2 linked regions of the Schizosaccharomyces pombe genome follow. The protein of the gene in region 1 binds, or shares a complex with, the protein of each later gene. Each region holds a gene or a part of one and is shown on either strand. Other genes may lie near its edges. A codon is read from its position in the direction of its gene.

Region 1 (7,221 bases):
CAGTTCAAGATTCCTTCTTGGTTCCTTAACCGTCAAAAGGATATCAACGATGGCAAGTCATTCCAATTACTTGCCAACAATGTTGACAGTAAGCTTCGTGAGGATCTTGAGCGCCTTAAGAAGATCCAAACCCACCGTGGTCTTCGTCACGCTCTCGACCTTCGTGTTCGTGGTCAACACACTAAGACTACTGGACGTCGCGGTAAGACCGTTGGTGTCTCTAAGAAGAAGTAAAATAAGTAAAATGATTAGCCTAATATTACTTGGATAATAAATTTCCATTATTCTTGCAAATTATAGTTTTCTGATTCTTTAAAACATCTTGCTTTATTTTGTATATTGAAAAAAATTAGGTGGATTTGTGATTTCTCATCAAATATTACACTACAATTTATTCTGATATAGAAATATATAAAAAACAGTAAATATTATTCAACATATTCAACCAACATGATTGATACTGACGCATCGACCTAAGAACCTTTATTATAACCCTACCTGAAACCACAGAAAATTAGACTTCTAATATAATTATTTGAAACGAGATAAATCCAAACTTTTAACTTCGCGCTTCAATACTCGTTGTTTTTTACTTTGTGGCACTGGTGCTTTTACATTTTCTTGAACGTAAAATTCGCGCATTAACATCACAGCTTCAGAGTAAAATAACCCTGGATAAACTGGATAGCTCGGATCAATAGATTGGCTGTCATAAATCGTAAGCAAAAACGAACTGATAAATTCACATACTCCTTGTTAATGGAAAATACGCTTCCACATCCGCCAAACCTATCGTTGCCGCATCCAAAATACACGGCTTTTATGTGAAGCTGTTTTAATGCAGCAGCACACATTAGACACGGTTCAACAGTCACGTATAAAGTGGTTTCTTTGAAAACAGATGCTGGGTAGTGTTCTAAAATTTTTTCTATAGCGATAAGTTCAGCATGTCGAATCCCCTTTATCATCGTCAGCAAAGGCATATTAAAATAAGGCTTACCGAGAGGCTGCAGTTAGTTTCATTAAAACCACGGCCTATTACTTCTCCTTTATATACAAAGACGCAACTACCGGGACTTCTCGGTTGGATAACGAAGTACGGGCCTAAATTTAGGACTTTTAGTTGTTAATATGTAGGAAATTGAGCTTACCATTTCATGCGCCAACTTCATATATGTTTCATGCTGAGTATCATATTTCACCGTATTTGATGAACTTGTTTTGTTCATTTCCGCGAGGATATCTTGAAGATGTTGGCTTACAAAAAGTAGGGCTGTGTCAATGTTTTCTTTTTGAGGGAGTATAATATCAGCGTTCTCTCGAGTCTTCCAATAATTAGTATACAACAGCAAATAAGAGTTTAACATACTGGATGAATCGAAGAGTCGTATGCAGGTTTAGACAAAGTTACAAACTAAAAGAAATTAGAATAAACCTAGAAGAAAAACCCTTACATCGTTCAAAACTTTGGTTAAGTCTCCTTTTTCTGCTTTGACCCTCTGTAAAACGCAGCGTTCCAAACGAGTATCTGCATCTTCATATACAAAAATTTTAGACGTATAGTAGGGCAGCAATTCGGGAAGAAGAAGATAGTAACCTTCGATTAGAATAATTCTATTCTGGTCTACAGGTAGCTTTATACAAGAACCATCTGGCAAACATATTTTCTCGGCTCCTTGAGAAATCAAAGAAAGAACTTTTTTAAACGCTTCAATATCGTAAGAGGAAAGTGCATACCTGTCGACAGAATTGGGATAAAGAAATGAAGTAAGATGGATCAATTTAGAAAAAGTTGAAGGTGCTGATGACTTTAAACGTTCAAGTAATTGCTCACAGAGTTGTGTCTAGTATTAAAGTATTAGAATTAAGAAAAAAATATTTTAATAAAATACCTTTCCAGAAAAAGGACCCCCAGCAATCCCAATGATTGCACTTTTCACACTATCTCCTGCCATAGTATATTCAACGCTAAAAATTTCAAATATAGCCAAATAGTAAAATATATAAATTATTACGAAAAGTTGGCAGTATAGAGAGTAAGGAATTCTATCTTCTTTAAGTAACTTTTACGCCTTGCTGCTACTGGTGGTAGCGTTGGTAGTATTTGGGCGAACTGTCCCTCCGAGGCTCTTACGCGGTTAGCCATATAAGTATACAATTATCAGTTAGAATAAATTCTCAGAATTAAGCTAATTTACATATCAATGTATTATATCATGTACTAGACTTAAATCAACAAGCTACAGCAGATGATTACGAAGTTATCTGTGAAAAATCATCACTAAGAACACAAGTTTTTCTACCCTTCAGTTTGTTGGTTCTAAAGAATTTGATTTTTTTTAAGTAAAAGCTGGTATTTTGCCTGTTTGGATATGAATGTTAGGGAAGGAGCAGTACAAAAAAGGTTGAATTAAAAAGTAAACAAAAGTATGTTTATAATGATGCTAGCTCGTCAATTGCAAAGAGATTACTAAAAGATATTGATTCCGTAATCTACTCCTCATCCTCCTCACCAATTTTTGGGGCAAGATAAAATCGTAAAAATCCGGATTCCATTTTATACTCCACAAGAAGTGGAACATCATTGCTCATTGAAAGTGTGACTCGGGTAGCTAAAGGAGTAGCCTTAGTGAACTGGGCTAAATATTTCAAAGAAAACGTAAGTGTTACAGCTTGGGTAAGAGAAATTTCGATACTTTGATCTTGGTCAGAAAGATCGGTATGTTGTTTCAGCGTGGTACTACCATTACCAATATCTCCCTTGCAGCTAAAACGAACACCCTCTTTACTAGCATTGATTGTTACTGAATCACTCAAAGTTAATAAATCTCGAGTAATGCGTTGAAATTCGGCAGCAGGCATAGTAATAGTAGCATCGTATTCGATATCTGGTATACCCAAGTGTTCTTGATCAATGTCCATTAATTTAACATCATAATCAGAGATCCTGTCATTTTTCTCGCTCTCGAAAACCAAATTCAATACCTCAGGTGTATCTTCAGCCTTTAAAGTAACCAAATCCTCGTTTTGGGCACACCGTAAGACCTTTGATAAGGCGTTCAGATTTATACCTAAAGCAATATTTCTATCACACCGATATGGTTCAAATCCATCTGATTTAATAAGCATAGAAACAAGGGCTACATGAGAACTATCCATAGCCTGCAGAGAGATACCGTTGTCATTGCAATCAAACTGTTATGAGGTTAGAGAATCATTCAAAAGAAGTTAATAAATATATTTTTTTTAAAAAAAAGAAAGGCTTTGTCGTTGAGCATCTTTATTTATATGCTGCCCCTTACATACATTAGCATCTGTAACTAACTCCTTGATGGCATCGAGAAGCTTTTTCAACAAAGCAGCCTGCTGAAATCTAGCTTCAAGCATAGTCGTAATTATATTTTATACAAGCTAGATAAGAGATATAAAGAATAGCTAACAAAGGTTACTGCAAAAACCTTTTGTAGTTGGCTTTTGGGAAGTAGTCAAAGAGCGCGTAGCACAGAATAGTGTGCGTAAAATTGCTAGCTGACAACGTAAAAAATCTCAAGAACCTTTCATATATGAGACCAAAATAGCAGTTCACGTTATTATAATTTGTTTTGTTATTTTTTTTATTTTTACAATAGCAAGTAATTTCGTCCGTACTTTTTAGATGCGTTTGATATGAAATATTATACAAAATTATGGAAAACTAACTGAAAAAATAGTATTTGCATGTTACTATGAAATTTTTATCTTTCGTTTGCTGTACTAATTCACGGTTCTATTTATGTCTTTTTAAAGAAGCAATATTCAGTTATCGAAATTTTCTAGCTATACGGATTATAATAAGCCAAATGTAATCAGCGAGTCATTACAATTTACGGCGTAAACTAGGAGAGCTTTCGCGTTCTACCTTAATATACTTTCCAGGATCAAATAAAATTTAGGCTACACTAATGTATCAAGTAAATTGTACATTTTCCATATTAGCTGCTACCGAAATTTATTAACTTATTTTCACGTTGCAATGACATATAAAATGATTGAAAAAAACGTTATTTTAATTGGTATTAACACGGAAAACTTAAAACGAATTTTATTGCTGGTTTAAATAAGACTAAAGAGGTATGAAAATAAGAATGAAGTATACTTGTTCGCTAAGGAAAAAATATGTATTCACAACAAATTCATTCGTTTTTTTTTCTTCTCAATATTCGTAGATTACAGTTACGTTAACAAGAATTCACTGTTGGTTTGTTTAGTTTATAAACCACTATGGTCAAGTAACTAAAGTTCGTTAAATGTCATTACGACGAATAATCGCTACCGTATAGAATAAGTAATGTAAGAGCTCTATCTTAGAAATAGCTTGGAAATATGACTAGAATCTCTGTAATAGAAGAACTATGTATCAAAAAATTATTTATTCAGTCATTGATGAATTCTAACGGTATTTAGCAAGATGCAATTGAGAATAAGTTGAGGTTAGTATCCGTCTTTACGTTGTTCCATACACTACGTAATACGCAGATCATTTCCGGGTTTCGAGTATTCCATGTTTAAAGACAATTCAAAGACTTTTAAGGTAACTGCATTTTTAATTTACACCGGTTTTTTTTTAAGCTATTTTTCTCTTATTTTTTTAAATCTTCTAGTCATGTCTTTGGGATTTACCCTACTTTATCCCTTTCTTTTTCTAGAGTGTAGGAGTAGGTTCGAGTAACAATGTAACTGGCATCTTCTGGTATGTTCCTTTCCTTCCCATAGTAACATCATCGTGTATATATATGCACAGCTTCTCTACCTGCGGCATCCTCAACCATCAATCTATAACCGAAGAATTTATTATAATAACGATATTAAGTTCTTATTAAATCGAACTGAAAACCGTATATATTTACCGTTCAACGACTCTCTCTTTTTTGTTTTATAACGAGCGACAAATATACAATTCCTTTTTTTTGGATTTATCTATAAATTATAAAAATTCCTATAATAATATAACTCGATATGGCTGATTATCCTTTTACTGACAAAGCCGCAAAGACATTGTCTGATGCGTACTCAATTGCACAATCTTATGGTCATTCACAATTAACCCCTATTCACATTGCTGCTGCTCTTTTGTCCGACAGTGACAGTAACGGTACTACCTTACTGCGCACCATCGTCGACAAAGCTGGTGGTGATGGTCAAAAGTTTGAGCGAAGTGTTACTAGTCGGTTAGTTCGCTTGCCTGCTCAGGATCCACCTCCAGAACAAGTGACTCTGTCACCTGAAAGTGCGAAACTGCTGCGAAATGCTCATGAACTTCAAAAAACACAAAAAGATTCTTACATTGCTCAAGATCATTTTATCGCTGTGTTCACTAAAGACGACACGCTAAAGAGTTTATTGGCAGAAGCCGGTGTCACCCCGAAAGCGTTTGAATTTGCTGTAAATAACGTCCGTGGTAATAAAAGAATCGATTCAAAGAATGCCGAGGAAGGATTTGATGCACTAAATAAATTTACTGTTGATCTTACAGAGCTCGCTAGAAATGGTCAACTGGATCCAGTTATCGGACGTGAAGATGAAATTCGTCGTACAATTCGCGTACTTTCTAGAAGAACGAAAAATAATCCAGTTCTTATTGGTGAGCCTGGTGTAGGTAAGACCTCCATTGCTGAAGGACTTGCTCGTCGTATAATTGACGATGATGTCCCCGCTAATCTTTCGAATTGTAAGCTTCTCAGCCTGGACGTCGGAAGCTTAGTTGCCGGCTCCAAATTTCGTGGTGAATTTGAAGAGCGTATCAAATCTGTTTTAAAAGAAGTTGAAGAAAGTGAAACTCCCATTATTTTATTCGTAGATGAAATGCATCTTTTAATGGGCGCAGGTTCCGGTGGTGAAGGTGGCATGGACGCTGCCAATTTGCTGAAGCCAATGCTTGCACGTGGTAAGCTTCACTGTATTGGTGCTACTACTTTGGCTGAATACAAGAAATACATCGAAAAAGATGCTGCTTTCGAACGTAGATTCCAAATCATCTTGGTAAAAGAGCCTTCTATTGAAGATACGATTTCTATCCTTCGTGGTCTTAAAGAAAAGTATGAGGTTCATCATGGTGTTACTATCTCTGACCGTGCCTTGGTTACTGCTGCCCATCTCGCTTCCCGGTACCTAACTTCTCGTCGTCTTCCAGATTCTGCCATCGACTTGGTCGATGAAGCTGCGGCTGCAGTTCGTGTTACTCGTGAATCTCAGCCCGAAGTTCTTGATAACCTTGAGAGAAAGCTTCGACAACTCCGCGTTGAAATTCGTGCTTTAGAGCGTGAGAAGGACGAAGCTTCCAAAGAACGTCTCAAGGCTGCTCGTAAAGAGGCTGAACAAGTGGAAGAAGAAACAAGACCTATTCGTGAGAAGTATGAATTAGAAAAGTCTCGTGGAAGTGAACTTCAAGATGCTAAGCGTCGTCTTGATGAGTTGAAGGCTAAGGCTGAGGATGCCGAGCGTCGTAATGATTTCACTCTTGCTGCTGATTTGAAATACTATGGTATTCCTGATTTGCAAAAACGTATTGAATATTTAGAGCAACAAAAAAGAAAGGCTGATGCAGAAGCGATTGCAAACGCTCAACCAGGCTCAGAACCTTTACTTATTGACGTAGTTGGGCCCGATCAAATCAACGAAATCGTTGCAAGGTGGACTGGTATTCCGGTTACTCGTTTGAAGACAACTGAAAAGGAACGACTCCTTAACATGGAGAAGGTTCTCAGTAAACAAGTAATTGGTCAAAATGAAGCAGTTACTGCAGTTGCAAACGCCATTCGCTTATCTCGTGCTGGTCTTTCTGATCCTAATCAACCAATCGCATCTTTCTTGTTTTGCGGTCCTTCCGGTACTGGTAAGACTTTATTGACAAAGGCATTGGCATCATTTATGTTTGATGATGAAAATGCAATGATTCGTATTGACATGTCTGAATACATGGAAAAACACTCTGTTTCACGTCTCATTGGAGCACCACCCGGTTATGTTGGACATGAAGCTGGTGGACAGCTTACTGAACAACTTCGTCGACGACCTTACTCCGTCATCTTGTTTGACGAGATTGAAAAGGCTGCTCCAGAAGTATTGACTGTACTTTTGCAGGTACTAGATGATGGACGTATCACTAGTGGCCAAGGCCAGGTTGTTGATGCCAAGAATGCTGTTATCATTATGACTTCTAACTTGGGCGCTGAATACTTGACA
Region 2 (6,642 bases), on another chromosome or scaffold:
TTAAAAATACTGGCGATTAAGCAGCTTTTTTCGGGGATTCGCCAATACTGGGTGAATCTGTAGGAGTTGTAGTCGCAGTGCCAGAACGCGATACAACTGTGTCCAAATATCGAAATGCCCAAACTCTCAGCTTTCGCTGCTGAGAGTCTGATAATTCATCTGGTAAAGCTTTTTCTTTTTTGGATAGAACTAACTGAATATGCTTTTTCAAGATAATTTCAGTCATTTTCTTTACTCTCAATTTAAATTCAGCTTTACCAAGCTTCTCTTGGTATCTAGCTGTTTTGTTAGCAAAAAATTTTGCCAAAACTGCCTTAAAAGCAATGCTTTCAGGACTATGCGAAGTTAAATGATGATCAATTGTGGCATCCTGAGAGCTTTTCGTCTTCTTTTCATGCAACTTTTTGGCATGTCTTTTCAAACTTTCTTCGTAAGCAAGACGTCTCTTTTCTTCTCTTTTCTGCTGAGCTATTCTTTCTTCTTCCTCCTTCTGTGCCTTCAACACATTTTTCTGATTGACACTCTCCATTGCCGCTGAAATAATCTTGTTTAAATCTACTTTATTAGCTTGATTGCTGACTTGTTCTTGCTCATTATTTGGTGTAGTTGTTTCAGAAGGAGTGTCAGAGTTAGAAAGACGACGACGTTTAGGGAAAGAATTTTTACGAAAAAGGTTGTGTTTTGAATGGCTTTGATAGTCATTTCCAAACTTGGAACGTGAACGACTATCACTAGGCCTAGAAGAATGTAATGCTGGATGTTTCTTGCTCAAATCTTCTGTTGAATTATTGATTGCAGATTTTATATCTCCCTTATCGCCACGTTGTGGTTCCTGATCCCTTAAAGGAGGATTACTTTGATTATTGGAGGGTTCTGCGTTCGTTGACTGTGGAGCAACTTGACCAGGCTTCCTTCGGGGAATTCGATAAGCTATCTCCAAAGATTCCCATTCTTTTAAAAGAGTTTTGGCATGATCTTTGACCTCCTCGTTCTCATGGTCGCAAAACTCTTGAACAACGGGCTCAATATTTGAATCTTGGATTTTATTTCTTGTTAGGCGTGGCCAAGATAACATGGTTTTTATAGAACGTAGTATAAACTCAATATCAATGCTGAACTTCTTCAGCATCAAACCAAAAATGTTGTAACCACGTAACGCAATGATCGAACGGCATACACTAGGATCTGAAGTCAAGAAAATGCGTTCCATTAACTTTCTTGTTAATAAGTCATCCTTAGTTTGCAGGAGAACGCCAATCACTTTAGTAGCAGACTCAGATGTCAGAGGAGTAGGTTGCACCTCTTCAATAATTTTGCTAGTTTCGTCAATTCCCTTTTTACGACGTTGTCGACGTGCAGTGATGTTTTCCCAGCTATCCTCTTCATCTTCAATACCAAGAGCCTCTCGGACATTCTCAGGTAGTTTCGATTGAGCCTCAGTTTGCGTCTTTCCGCCAATATACCCTACACAGCAAGGTTCTCCGCAATAACAAGGTTGGGCTTGTGCACCATATCTATCGACATTATAGTCAAAAGTAAGCTCTTCACCGCGAATAATATCTCTTTTACAAAATATACCCATTCTTAGCTTATCTCCTACCATCCATTTATCAACATAACAATTAGGTCTACAAGAGTGATTGCAAAATCTTGCGAGCGACCCCCTTTTAGTAGCATCAATATATTCCCCCTTTTGCAGCATCATGAAGTAAAAGTGTTTAATTCCCTCACTATCGTATTGTCGCATACGTTTACGAAACTTTTGTTCAGGTATAACTTCTCCAATGTATTCGTAGACAAATGTGTCTTTGGGTAAATTGGCATCAGCGCGCAAACCAAACCCTTTCTTTTCGGTTAAGAAAACATCCACCTTTGCAAATTCATGTCTTTGAAAGCGTTGGTTTTGACAGGATGGTCCACAAACGTTATCTTCGTCCGTACACTCTATAGAAGTCATTCTATTAATACAATTGGATCCGTGCCCACAAGCAACATTAACTCCATCTACCCAATGAGGCCGACAATCGCAAATCATAGCTTCGTTTTCTGGAGGCTTACCAATATTGGCGGAAGCATACTGACATTCTTGAATCTCTTCGAACGTAGTTAGCGCCTTATCTTTCGCAGAATCCAGGTGATGAAAAAGTTGAGGAGGAAGTGCCTCTTTTCTAACATATTTGCTTTGAGACCGAGAGGATGCAGACGATGGCGAGGACGTAGAAGGGGAAGGAGCACTTTCGTCTTTATTCATCCCTTCGGCATCCTCTTTACTTTCGAAATCATGAGATGACGAAGAAGATGGTGATGAACCGACTGCCTGGACAGCGATTGTGTCTTTTGACCAAGAAGACTTCCTATCAACGTTTTCCTCATTCAAAGGAGTTAAAACAGAAAGAGATGATGCCGTCTGCATTGTATGATAATGGACAAAAAGAAAGAGAAAGTTAAAAAATCTACAGTTTTATTGAACAAAAAGTAATTGCCGAAGGAAGCCAAAACAATAGAAAGAAGACCAGCTGAAATTTCACCGAAAATCTTCTTTTTAGAAAATTTCCGAAAATATCTCGATGCGTAACATATAGATCTTCTAACGTTTCAAAGTTTCGTGTCAAAGAAACAGTGAGATCAGGAAATTGTCTCAAGGAAGAAGTTGTGGCTGTTGGCGGCGTTCCTTCTTTACTCGCGGAATCCTCGTAGGGGCTCACAGTACCGGAGTGTAAACGACAACTCTTGACTTTAGTGTTAAATATTAAAGAAACCTATTAAAAGAAAAGGCTTTAAAATCTTTACTTTCATTTCATTCAAGCATCTACAAAAAATCACCATCACGCGCAACATTTGAATGCCATTCTTTTCCAGAAATTCCATAATAGTTGTTGAAGAAATAACACTGTTAGTGTAATAAAATTCACTCTGTTTTTTACACTCGGCGCCTTATGTAGCGAATATCTTTGAATTAATAATATCAATCATACTATGTAACTGTAGTAGGTTGTTTATCCAAAAAACATATGGTACGCAAAGATAGACACTAATTATCAACAATGAATGAATAAGAAAAGCTTTTTCAACGAATATTTTGAGTGAGGCAGTCAGCGTGCTCATACTGGATAGACCCAGAACAAGTAAGTTTACAATATGTTCAATTTACAAATCCAAGCATGTGGTATTGAATTATATTTGGTATTCTTTTTGTTCCCTTGGTCTTATTAATGTAAAATCATCATCTACCTGCATCTATTGAAGCAGTAATTAAACAGAAGTTTGAGAATCGGTAAAGAAAGAAACTAGGAATGTATGTAATAAAGTCATTTTATTTTGAAAATGCTCATCCTGTTAATTCTAGGTAGATTCTTTATTTCTTCAAACCCAACCACTTTTGTTAATATTGTTTAAACACATAATATATACATTGGCGAAATTGAAATAATGCTAAAATTTTGTCAGAGCATTAGTCATTGTTAATTTTAAAAAGCTATTAAACAAAAATAAAGGCTAAGAAAAAAAGATAAACCTATTCCATATGTTTATATATGTGTATCTTATCTTAAAAGGTCTTTAACTCAAGCTATACTTACTACAATCTATATGCAGCTACTTGTCCTTCATGGCACGACGGTGCCAGTAAAGTTAATAAGAAAACCATACCGAACAGGGGCCAAGTTACGATGAGACAACATGTGAAGAACAAAGGAAGAAGCGATTTCAAGCTTTGCAAAAGGTTTGACCAAATTTAACGAACAAACGTTTCAGCTGTTACCTTGAAAGCAGTTGGCAATAAAAGAGAAAGCGAATTTAATTGCTTTAAATGTTTTACTTTAACTCTTAGATATAAAGAGTGCGGAAAAAGTGGCAGAACCACAAGAAAACAAGATCTCAATCGCAAAAGCAATAAAACTGCAATTCCAAATTTTGTAGATTTTCTACCATTTATGAATAACGTGGGTTAGTGAAATGTAAAGAGATCCGTGTTCGATAGGCATTCCCCAGACAAATTTGACTGCTTTAAACGTCACAAAGCCGAGTAGCAAACGCTCCCACAACCAAACACTACACAAAGGTTCGTCGACAATTTATTTTGGAAAAAATGCACAGCAGCAAGCGAGTTATGACCACAAAGACTCATGTTGAGCAGCCTGAGTCTTCAATGCGTCCTCAGCTTCCCGAAAGCATTCAAGGCTCCTTAATGGACGTGGGAATGCGGGTTCGTAAATCAATTTCCACCGGATACAAGTCGAAACAAACCACGTTTCCTGCCTATAACCCACCGCTTTACAACACTGTTTCTGAAAACATTGCTTTAAAAAATACCGCATTTTCTTATGAGCCTAACGGTACTAAGCGTCCATTCGAGCAAGCAATTCCTAATTATAACTGGGCCAATCCTCCTCAAGACTTTGAAGAACCGGAATGGTTGAAGCCGTTTGACGTTGTCATGGAGGGTACCAATGAGAGATTATAAGCTAAATGTGAATCTCGTATATCTCTTCTTTAAGGATAATTTGACACCAATCCTCATAGTTCCAATTATTCCTTCGTTCATTAGTCTTTGACTTTGTTGATTCCCTATACCATTAATACATTTTATTATTGGTTTTGTGAGTGACGGCTAAGTGATTTTCTACTAATTAAACCCCCTCTTCTTTTGGGCATTTGTCTCTCCTTGTTAATTAAACTCTTTACATCTATGAATGATCTAGTCATATCTTTTTTTATTTTATCTTATTTGCTTATCGTTTTCTGCTTGACCAACTTATAATGGATTACTTTGTTGTCGTTGAATATCTGAATAGTAATTTTTTTCTAATACGTACATAATTTTTTGAAAGACTCATTCCTCGTATTTCCTCAGTAAATGTCACTTTTTTGGTGTACATGTAGATCGACCAAAGTAACCTGTTGCGGGCGACTTTTGTAACTTGTTATTTCTACTTTAAATCTTTTTCTTTTATGATGTTAGGGCGTTGGTAGGGGTTGTAACGTAAAAGGAAACAATTTTTGATATTTTCTCTACGGCATGTGAAAAGTATTACCCAACATGCCACGGAATTCTACGCTGTTTCAGTAATAAAATTTTATTATTATTATTATTATTATTTTTTTTTTGAAAAGATGTAATAAAATGCTTATATTTATAGATTACAAAGAGACAGTAATAACGTTACTCAGCTAACTAAAAAAGTGCAAACTAAACAGCGAATATGGCAAAAAACAGTCATATTTAAAAAAAAAATAATAATTTGAGAGGGAAAAATGGAATAATTTATTTAAAAACAAAAGATACCATAAAATCAATTAATCTACACATAAAATTTACAACTAGGATGTTATTTTGATAAAGTTTGTTGTAAATTTTTTGGTACTTCTACTCATCCGCTATTAGCTTGAAAAACAAAAGTAATTACTACCGCTTTATGGCCAACTAGTTTCATAGGGAGGATGACTGCATACAAAAACGCTGAAACCCTTTCAAATGAGTCTATAAGACAGCAGTGGAAAACGAGTATTTCAGTTTTTAGGTACATTGCAGTGTTATAAATAATATGTGTTTCTTTTCAGATTTTTTTTACTAGTCAGTTATTGTTATACCAATCAATTCCTGGTATGTTTATATTAAACAACAAACAGGACACGAGGAGTCCTTGAAGTATTACTACATTTCCAGTTCAACGATCTTGTTTCAAGGTAAACAATGTTAAACATTACTGCATAACAAAAATCTAATGACAATTGAAGCAGCGTATATAAAGCGATGCATAAAGCCCTTGTTAGGAAAGGCTCTACTTGCGGCTTCTTAATTAGTATTGATAAAATCTATTTCCATGGACATGCAAATATCTCGCAAGATGGATACATCGATCATTCTTCGGCGACTTGGATACCTCAGTCCCCACAAAATAAGATAAAGAATATTGGGTGTCGGTAGTCAGTATCCTAATCCATCAAAAAATTACGGACATTGCAGACGCTGATCGGTAACATACCAAGAAATTATCTGGTAGAACGCTTATATCCATATTTCCGATGCAATCGGTTCACGCCTGTTACCATTGATCGCTAAAAAATGTATGCAACTTTCCATAAAGGTAGTAAAGACATGACTTATACGCCGGATATATGATGAGCAATTTCATTTAGTAATTCTTTATTGTTTTGTACGTTTTAAAAGTATGACGAAGCATCTCAAAAGTATGAATTGTCGGATAATTGCAGCATGTAAATAAATAGGAGGATTCTTTTATTAAAGTCGACTTTAGGAGAGAAACAGTTTTTGTGCTTTCCCTCCAAGCATAACAATTTGACGTTAGGTTTAGCAGGTCGTTTAGATAAAGAAAGACATCCGCCTCTTTGTAAATCGCTTCAACATCAATTGTAAGTTGCTTACATCTTCTACGCGCCTCCACTGTATACTTATCGGGATCAATCAAATGGTTTCGGACATTTACTTCCTAAAGTAGTGTATGCTACGCTTCGTTATATTACATCTTGGTAAGCATGAAAATGTATATAAGGCGAGTGTTGTTTGCTATTCGATTAATTTCTTCCATCATCACAGTCACATTTTGTGTGTTGACATAAAAACTTGGTCAGGTTCTGAGTTTCGAAAGGTTCATTTTTTTGATTTTTAGGTGTTTTCTTTAA

Evidence for each region.
Region 2: the proteins of pcn1 (region 1) and spd1 are in contact, whole or in part, in a crystal structure (PDB 6QH1), measured with the Schizosaccharomyces pombe proteins. Residues at the interface, in NP_596504.1 of Schizosaccharomyces pombe: Met40 (codon at 3,159), His44 (codon at 3,147), Val45 (codon at 3,144), Ala46 (codon at 3,141), Leu47 (codon at 3,138), Leu126 (codon at 2,901), Gly127 (codon at 2,898), Pro129 (codon at 2,892), Ser208 (codon at 2,655), Asp232 (codon at 2,583), Val233 (codon at 2,580), Pro234 (codon at 2,577), Tyr249 (codon at 2,532), Leu250 (codon at 2,529), Ala251 (codon at 2,526), Pro252 (codon at 2,523), Lys253 (codon at 2,520); in NP_594981.1 of Schizosaccharomyces pombe: Ile29 (codon at 4,172), Gln30 (codon at 4,175), Gly31 (codon at 4,178), Ser32 (codon at 4,181), Leu33 (codon at 4,184), Met34 (codon at 4,187), Val36 (codon at 4,193), Met38 (codon at 4,199).

Annotation. Positions count from the first base shown.
Region 1 is NC_003423.3:3,612,851-3,620,071, reverse strand, and holds pcn1 (DNA polymerase delta processivity factor), read right to left. Parts: upstream 3,478-7,221; 5' UTR 3,388-3,477; coding exon 3,307-3,387; intron 3,198-3,306; exon of another isoform or gene 3,196-3,197; coding exon 2,494-3,195; 3' UTR 2,227-2,493; downstream 1-2,226. Other genes in the region: rps1801 (40S ribosomal protein uS13), read left to right, coding at 1-234; heat shock protein Hsp104, read left to right, coding at 4,996-7,221.
Region 2 is NC_003424.3:5,408,402-5,415,043, forward strand, and holds spd1 (ribonucleotide reductase (RNR) inhibitor), read left to right. Parts: upstream 1-4,041; 5' UTR 4,042-4,087; coding exon 4,088-4,462; 3' UTR 4,463-4,818; downstream 4,819-6,642. Other genes in the region: histone lysine H3-K36 methyltransferase Set2, read right to left, coding at 17-2,413. UniProt on the Schizosaccharomyces pombe protein: Regulates the ribonucleotide reductase activity through its mediation of the nuclear localization of suc22, the small subunit of the ribonucleotide reductase. Delays the progression of the G1-S phase transition, thereby ensuring the G1 phase is complete.